2 linked regions of the Rhinolophus ferrumequinum genome follow. The protein of the gene in region 2 interacts with the protein of the main gene of each other region in a biochemical or structural test. Links are inferred from orthologs where the notes say so. Each region holds a gene or a part of one and is shown on either strand. Other genes may lie near its edges. The genes, in order: clathrin light chain B and HIP1.

Region 1 (3,905 bases), on a different chromosome or scaffold from region 2:
ACAAGTCCCAGACATGACCCATTTTGGAACAGTGGCAGACGGGGTCCAGAACATTCCTGGGAGCTTACTGAGGCCCAGTAGGGCAAACAGGCTTGCCAGGAACTGACTAGCAAGTCAGCGGCAGAGCCGGGCTGGGTGCTCAGCAATCTAGGTGTGAAAAAGTAAACCTTCTGGGCCTTACCCAAGGTGATGAATGGAAACAGTGTCCATTGCACAGGCTCCAGCCCACAGAGGAAAGACTCAATGTAGCTCAGGCTCAGGCCTACACAAGACACCTCTTTTCCCAGGGGCACCTGGGGCCCAAGTCAGGGCACTCTGTGCAGGGGCATCATCTAAGAGACAAGACTCAGAGGTGCTGACAGGCAGCGGTGCTGACAGGAAGCCAGCTTCCACCCAGCTCCCGGCAGGCCAAGGCACATGTTCCCCACCCATTTGGCTTCTGGCACTCACTGCTAGTCCAGGGGGAATTACTTGCTCAGCACCATGTAGGCTTAGGAGGGCAGATCAATTCCATCCTTTCTGGCCACCTACTGAGCTGCCAGCCACGATACCTCCTGGATCCCCCTGCCCCACTCAGAAGGGCATTTGCAGCTTTTGCAGTGTGAAATTGTGAGTCCCACAGACCCTCACAGGGCATGTCCCTGCTTCTCTCCCTGCCACCTCAGGCATGCGGCCAATTCATGCCCCACCCCTGCCAGAGAGGGAAACTCCCATCCAGGCTGTGAGCCCTGAGAGCCCCACTGTCCTGGGAGAGGCCACAACCCGCTCAACTCCCGGACGCCTCTGGTTACCTCAGCCTGACTTCTACTGCTTCTCTCTCAGGGGGTTGTGACATCTGCTGTTTTCAGCAGAGCATCCCCCAAGCCAAGCCAGACTGGGGAAGCTGGTGGTCTCAAGGAGGAGAAGTGGACAAATGAATACTGGTGCGTGAACATGGGCAGGCATTTCCTAGGATGTGCAAGAGTCTGTCCTGAGGTGCTAGGAGCTGCCGCTTCAGAAGACCTCCACTGCTGGTTTGGTTGGGTAGCAAAAGACCGTCCCCTCACCCCCACATCCCATCACCTCCCAAGATAACTGCCGACCGCCCTGCCGTAACATGTGAAAGAGCATGGAGCCCAGACTTGGGAGGTCTGGGAATGGATCAAGTCCCAGTTCTGTCACTCACGGCTGTGTGACTTTGGGCAAGATACTCAATCTCTCTGGGCCTCCACTTTCTTATATGTTACAAAAGTCTTGTTACATTTCTCAAAGCAAGGGGCTACAGAGAGCTTGAAGCTCCTCAAGTCACAGAAACTGTCTTACTCATGTCTGTATCCCCAGTGGGCCTGGCACACAGAAGGTGGTCGCTAAATGTTGAATGAATACAAACATAACTCTAAGGAGCCTTACTTGTAAACATTTTCTTAAAATATGTAAGCTACCACTGACTCCAAAAGGCCCAGAAACCCCCACCAAAATAACGACATTAACAGAAAGCAAGTGCTGTGTTGGATGCACCCATGAAGGTGATATCTACTTTTTTACTAAATGTTTTAAGAAATTATTCTTTCAAGCCAGAACCAGAACAGAAACATCATTGATAAACGTGCTGTCACAAAGACCAGGCCCCGGACCCTGTGTCTGAGGCTAACCACAGCAGCCCTGGCCCACCTTTGAAAAACACCACAGGGCAGGACCACATGTGACTGTGCCCTGCCCCCACTCCCTTGGTGTCTAACTCAGAGCCAGGCATATGGAAGACAATGTGGTCAGGTGGAGAGGGCTTAGAGTCTGACAGAAACAGATTTAAACGGTCGCTCTGCCACTTACCAGTTGTTTTAGTACTGTACTTTTTGAGCCTCGATTTTGCTATCTCTGAAATGGGTTTAATAATGCACATAAAATTATTAAATGTAAATAAAGTGCCTAGCCCAGTGACTGCAGGACGGCAGGTGGTCCCCAGGGAAGGTGTGTGAGTTCCTGGAGCACCCACTGTCCCCTGCTTTCCCAGCTTTAGGAGAAAGCTAAGTCTGAAGGGCAGAGAGGTCTGCGGTTCTGCCCACATTTTCAGGGCTCAGCTGGAAGCCCACACAGCCAGGCGACTACTACCCCAGGCCAGATTCTCAGGGCTGGGCACCATTGGATTCCAAAGCTTCGCAGTGGTGAAGCTGGCCAGGGAATGAAATGTCATGACGAATTCTTGTCCCAGGAGCCACCAGATCCACAACCCCAGGCGGGCCCTCAGATGAGAATTTCCAAGATTCCTCCGCATTTCCCCCCCGGGCCCGGCTCACACACTGCCCCAGGCCTGCTCCTGGCTAGTGGCGAGCAGGCGCTCTGCTTTCTCCCCGTCTGCGGCCCCGTCCAGTTTAGGTGAAGAGGCCCCGTCTGCGCTGCCTGGTACCCCGGTTTGAGGCGCAGGCCCCCCGCTGCCCAGGCCACGGCGCTGACTCACCCCCATTCGCGGGTCCCGGCTGCGCCAGGACCGCCTGGCCGCCGGCAGGTGCCCCGAAACCTTCGTCATTCTCTATGCCCGCGATCTCACTTTCCTGCTGGGCCAAGAAGGCAGCCGCCGGGTCCTCCTCGGCCGCCTCGGGGGCCCCGCTCAACGACGACGAGAAGAAGCCAAAGTCATCAGCCATTTTCCCTGCGTCTCTGCTGGAGGGTCCGCCTGGCGCTCGGCTCTGCCCGGCGCGTGCCCGGCGCTGCGCCCCGCGGCGGCGGCACAGTCACCCCAGCGCCCAGGGAGCCGACTTCTGCGGGGACGCGCTCGGTGTGGTGGGCCCGCACTTCCTCTTCGCCACCGGGCCCGACTCTCCTGTCACTGCGGTGCGGACGGGAGGAGCCGGGACGGGAATGCGGTGATGTCACCGGCCGAGGGAGGGGGCCCGCAGGACAGCCGGAGGTCGCCTAGCGGCGGCCACCGGAGGGCAGCAGCAGGACGGTGGCGCAGCCCGAGGGGCCCCGAGGCCGGGGCAGCGCTCTCGTTCCCTGCCAGAGGGCTCATTTCCAGGACACCAGGACACCGCACAGCTCCGGCCGGGTCTACAGGGGAAGCTCACTGCACAAAGTGGCCATAGCGTGCACAGGGCCACCGCGGCGGGCAGCCCCGACCTCCAGAGCACGGAGAGGGTGGCCGCTGCGCGGAGCTTGCTCCTGGTCCACTCTGCAGTTTCTTCACCTAAACTGGGTGGATATTATAAATTTCATTATTATGAGGCCAAGAGAGGTGACACTAAGTCCCACAGCGTGATTGCATCTTTGTTGCAAGTCCAGAGCCTTTCCCACCAGGACGTGTTGCTTTAGTGCATTTCTCTTCATTTGGGGTGGCTTCAACTCAGATCGCCAGAGATTGTATGACCTGACTGCACCCCTGCTTAGAGGCTGGGCCCCTCAAATGTCCAGTCTGAGAAAGGCGGACAATTGATCGAGGCAGCCTGCCAGCCCCCACCCAGTCACCCTCACTACACAGTGTCCGAACGCCTCCTCCCTGCCTGTGCTGTGCCAAGCACTAGGGCGACAAAACGTAGCAAAACCAGTCTTGGCAATGGGGAGAGTACAATCTATCAGACCAGCAGATGGCAAGCGGGCCCTCACAGCCCGTGTGCAGGTGCTCTGACATTGAAACGGGGTACCAGGAAACCCGGAGGGGCTTTGGGATCTTCTCTTTGCGATTTGCAACTTGAACATCAACGATGAACTGGAAGAGAAAAAGGAAAGATACACCCCAAGCTGTGGTAGCAGTTCCCTTAGTGGGTGGGGGCGTGGCAGTAGGGTTGGGGTGAAGGGGCCTTTCAGGCTTGCTCAGTAATACTTTGATGTAGGTTTCACTCTCACGATGAGAATAGTATTAGTAGTGTAAACAAGAAAGAAATTTAAAGCCCTGCTTACCTGGTCCAAGCACACCGCTCCACCTTCATCTCACA
Region 2 (3,905 bases):
CTATTGAACGTGTGAATTTTTATCAAAAGCTGTTAAAAAAAATTAATGCCTTTATTTACTTCGAGTTTCAGTTTTTGGGGTTTTTTTAAAAAAGATTTTTTATTGGGGAAGGGGAACAGGACTTTATTGGGGAACAGTGTGTACTTCCAGGACTTTTTTCCAAGTCAAGTTGTTGTCCTTTCAATCTTAGTTGTGGAGGGTGCCGTTCAGCTTCAAGTTGTTGTCCTTTCAGTCTTAGTTGCAGGGGGCGCAGCCCAACATCCCTTGGGGGAGTCTAACCGGCAACCTTGTAGTTGAGAGCCCACTGGCCCATGTGGGAATCCAACCGGCAGCCTTCGGAGTTAGGAGCACAGAGCTCCAACCACCTGAGCCACCAGTCTGGCCGTCAGAGTTTTTTTAAACACCAAAATTCACGGAAAACTTCTCTAACATTCTTTAGCATCTCTCGTTAAGCACTTCCCTCTGCCTGTCGGTACCTTGGCTGACGTCTGGGCAGGATGGGAGGGGTGGCCGGTCCAGATGAGGAGAGGTTTGAAAGGTGCGGGAGGTTCCCACTGACCCAGCCCACGTGCGATCATTACAAAGGGGATTGGCAGGGATTCAGGGCACCGTCAGGATGAGGGAGGAAGCCGAGGGAACTGGGTCTGGGCCGCCACCCACGGCGGCCAGGTCTGGCAGACACTGACCCACCCTGCCCGGCCTGGGGGCAGCGCTTCCAGGGGCTCCGGCCCAAGCTCTCAGTCCCCGGCCCTAAAGGAGTAAACAGGGTTATCCCGGGCGGGCCCAGAGCCCCAGCCGTAGGCCGGACTCCAGTCCAGCGTGACCTCCGCCCACCACGCGGGGATCTCGCAGTGCCAGAGGCTGAAGGAAAGAGGCTCGCGGGGCAGGGGCGGGCGCTGGGAGGGGAGGTGCACCGGCGTCGGGGTAGGGGCGGACAAGGGCAGGTCAGGGCCGCCTCCAAGCCTGCCCCGCCCCGCTGGGGGCGGTAGGACCCAGTGACGGACAGGTCTCCGGGCCGGTCACCGCGCGCCTCGCGGTCCAGAGGGCCCGACCCGGCGAGGCACTCCGAGGGGCTCCGGAGGGGCGGGGGCGGGCGGGGAAGCCTCTGGTGGGGCGGGGCCTCGGGAGAGTAGCGGCGCTCCCAGCCAATGGGAGGCGGGAGATGTCCCGTTAGCGCCGGATCCCAGCGGGTCGGGCGGGGCGGGCGGCGCCGTGGGGATCCCAGGGCGGCCGAGGGCCCCACACTCAGCTTGGTGCGGCGACATGGACCGAATGGCCAGCTCCATGAAGCAGGTGCCCAACCCCCTGCCTAAGGTGCTGAGCCGGCGCGGGGTCGGCGCGGGGATGGAGGCGGCGGAGCGAGAGAGCTTCGAGCGGACTCAGGTGGGGACCAGGGGATCCCAGGGTATGTGTGGCGGGGGCATCCCGGGAGACGCGGTGTCCCTAAGGGCTATGAAGGGAGTAGGGGTCTTGCAGGCCCAGGGAATGACGGGACAAGGGGGCCGGGAGAAAGGGGCATCTGGTGCTCAGGTCTAGGCGACCCGGGAAGGTCGGGGACCTGGGCATCCCAGCTGGCCTGGGGGAAAGGGCAGGTTGTCTCCGAGGAGCTGGCATGATCTGCGCGGCGCGGCTGAGAGGAGCCGGTCCCGGCGGGGCAGCGCTGGGGTCACAGGGGCGGTGACTTGGGGAAGAACCGAAAAGGGGCTGAATGGAAGGAGTGTCCCTAGGCAGGGGGAGCGCACTGGGAGCCACTGGGAGACCCAAGTGTAGCGGCGGAAAGTAGGGAGCGGAGTTGGGGATATGAAGGGTGAGAAGTCCTTTCCTCCCCTTTCGATCGCTTCTCAGTTGCACTGACATACCCCCAACCCCTAACACCCCCTTCCTGGTGCCTCTTTCTTGGCTCACACCACCCCCAGCTGTCGGCTCTTGGAGGCCTGGCCATAGGGGTCTGAGCGGTGAGAAGGAATGTGGGAAATGCGAAGTGTGGCCGAGTTTGGAAAATGGGAGCTGGAGGAGGGAGGCGTCCAGGGGCAGGAATGGAGGCGTTTGGCCCGATAGCCCAGTGCTGGTGGGATGAGCTGCCCGGTGGTGCCCAGAGCCCTGACTTGGGTTTTGGTTTCATCCACCAAGGTGTGCCTGACAGCTAATAGGTAGACTGCCTTATTTGTCCAGACTGACCAAGGCTGGGGGCCAAATTCCTCTGTGTCATCAACGAAAAGCTACAATCCATTTTTACCTCAGTTTTAATGCCTGGTGAATTGATTTGACTGAATCACGCTGACATGTTTATGGTGTTCATCACGTCGTTTGTATGCAAAAATCCATTTCAAAGCAGGCAGCACTTCTTTTAATCCCAGTGCCAGAGTTGTATGGGCAGATTGGATCTCACTCTTGCTCTCAGAGTGAAACCTTTGAAGATTCAGCTGAGCCTCCACTGCCAGAGGCTGGTTCCCTTGCTCTGTTCTGCGTTTCTCCCCAAACTTTTAGATAGGAAAGATTGTGAGGATCTGACTGAGTGTTCTATATATGGAATCTTGAAAAGAATAAAGCTTTTCATCCCAGGGACTTCATCCTTTCCTCTTTCCAGCCACGTCTGGCCCTTGAAGGTGTATAAGGGTGCTGTAAAGTAGGGAGCGTCCCCTCCCTGGGCCATCCTGCCTCAGGCAGGATGGGAGAGTTGGCCATTCACTTCTGCTCCCAGCACCAATCAGGGTTTGAGGCTCATTCTCTGGCTTTGTGGACCACACTGCTGAAAAGGAGAAAGCTTTCCGTCTGCCTTGGGTGTGACTGCCTCCTCGAGCAGCCTGGTGACATGTGACTTCTTGCTTCAGGAAACAGTGTGAATATTCTTCTTTTTTTTTAATGGAAAAGGAAAATAAATAGGTGGTATTTTATGATAACCCGTTCCTTCTAGAGTCTCAAATAAGTAAAAACTGGAGCAATAGAAAAGTATACATAAAATGTGACCCATTATAGTGGTGGAAATTAAGTTTGTGAAAGTTTCCAGCTATGATGGGTAGTCCCCTCCTGATCCAGGGATAACCCAACAAGGAGAGTCTAGATTTTTCTGCAGAACACTTGTAATTGGCTGAATTTCACCTAGTGTTTGGGAGTTGTTATGGGAATGCAGAGTAGACTGGAGGAGGAAAAAGAGAGTTTTGCTATTGTTGAAATTATTAGGGAGGTAGGAGAGGAAAGAGAACAATCCAAAATCTTAGCATTAGTCAATCTGCAAACACTTACTAAGTTTAATGACTACCTATCAAATATATTATGCTATATAAAAATAACTTAGAAAAAAAATTTTAATGAGGTAAGAGACCATGAGAATCAGCCAAGGTATAATGATAATTGTAACTAATTAGTGTTTGGCACTATTCTAAGTACTTTATTGTATTACCTTCTTTAATCTCCACAAAGACCTACGAGGTGGGTATCGGCCACATTTTCCAGGAGAAAATTGAGGCACAGGGAGGTTAAGTAACCTGCCCAAGGCCACACAGCTAAAAGTGGTCCCAATCTTTAAGCACTACCTTGTGTTGCCCCTGGGCAGAGCACTGGCATGGGATCTAGAAGAGGTTTGAGTTTTATAGCTGGGCACATGGATAGGCTATGTGGCCTCGAGGAAAGTTGTCTAACCTTTTTAAGCCATGGTTTCCTTATTGTAGGAGATAATACTTACCTTGCAGGTTTATTGTGGGGATTAAATTGAACAATATGCGTCAAGGCATTTTGTAAATTGTGGAGCACTACTATTTCAGTGGTTGTTGCTATAATCTGACTAGGGAGATGAGACATAAGAAAGCACAGGACATGATCATGCAGGCTGTGATGAACTCCTTCGTAAAGGGACAAAAGTGTTACGAGGTAATTCGATAATTACCAAGAGCACGTGCATAAAGTAC

Evidence for each region.
Region 1: the proteins of HIP1 (region 2) and clathrin light chain B form a complex in vitro, tested with the Homo sapiens proteins (2 studies listed by BioGRID, with this or other methods). The link is inferred for Rhinolophus ferrumequinum from reciprocal best matches to the Homo sapiens genes HIP1 and CLTB.

Annotation. Positions count from the first base shown.
Region 1 is NC_046307.1:6,084,968-6,088,872, reverse strand, and holds the start of clathrin light chain B, read right to left. Parts: upstream 2,851-3,905; 5' UTR 2,622-2,850; coding exon 2,435-2,621; intron 1-2,434. UniProt on the Homo sapiens protein: Clathrin is the major protein of the polyhedral coat of coated pits and vesicles.
Region 2 is NC_046290.1:92,837,332-92,841,236, forward strand, and holds the start of HIP1 (huntingtin-interacting protein 1), read left to right. Parts: upstream 1-1,263; coding exon 1,264-1,383; intron 1,384-3,905. UniProt on the Homo sapiens protein: Plays a role in clathrin-mediated endocytosis and trafficking. Involved in regulating AMPA receptor trafficking in the central nervous system in an NMDA-dependent manner. Regulates presynaptic nerve terminal activity.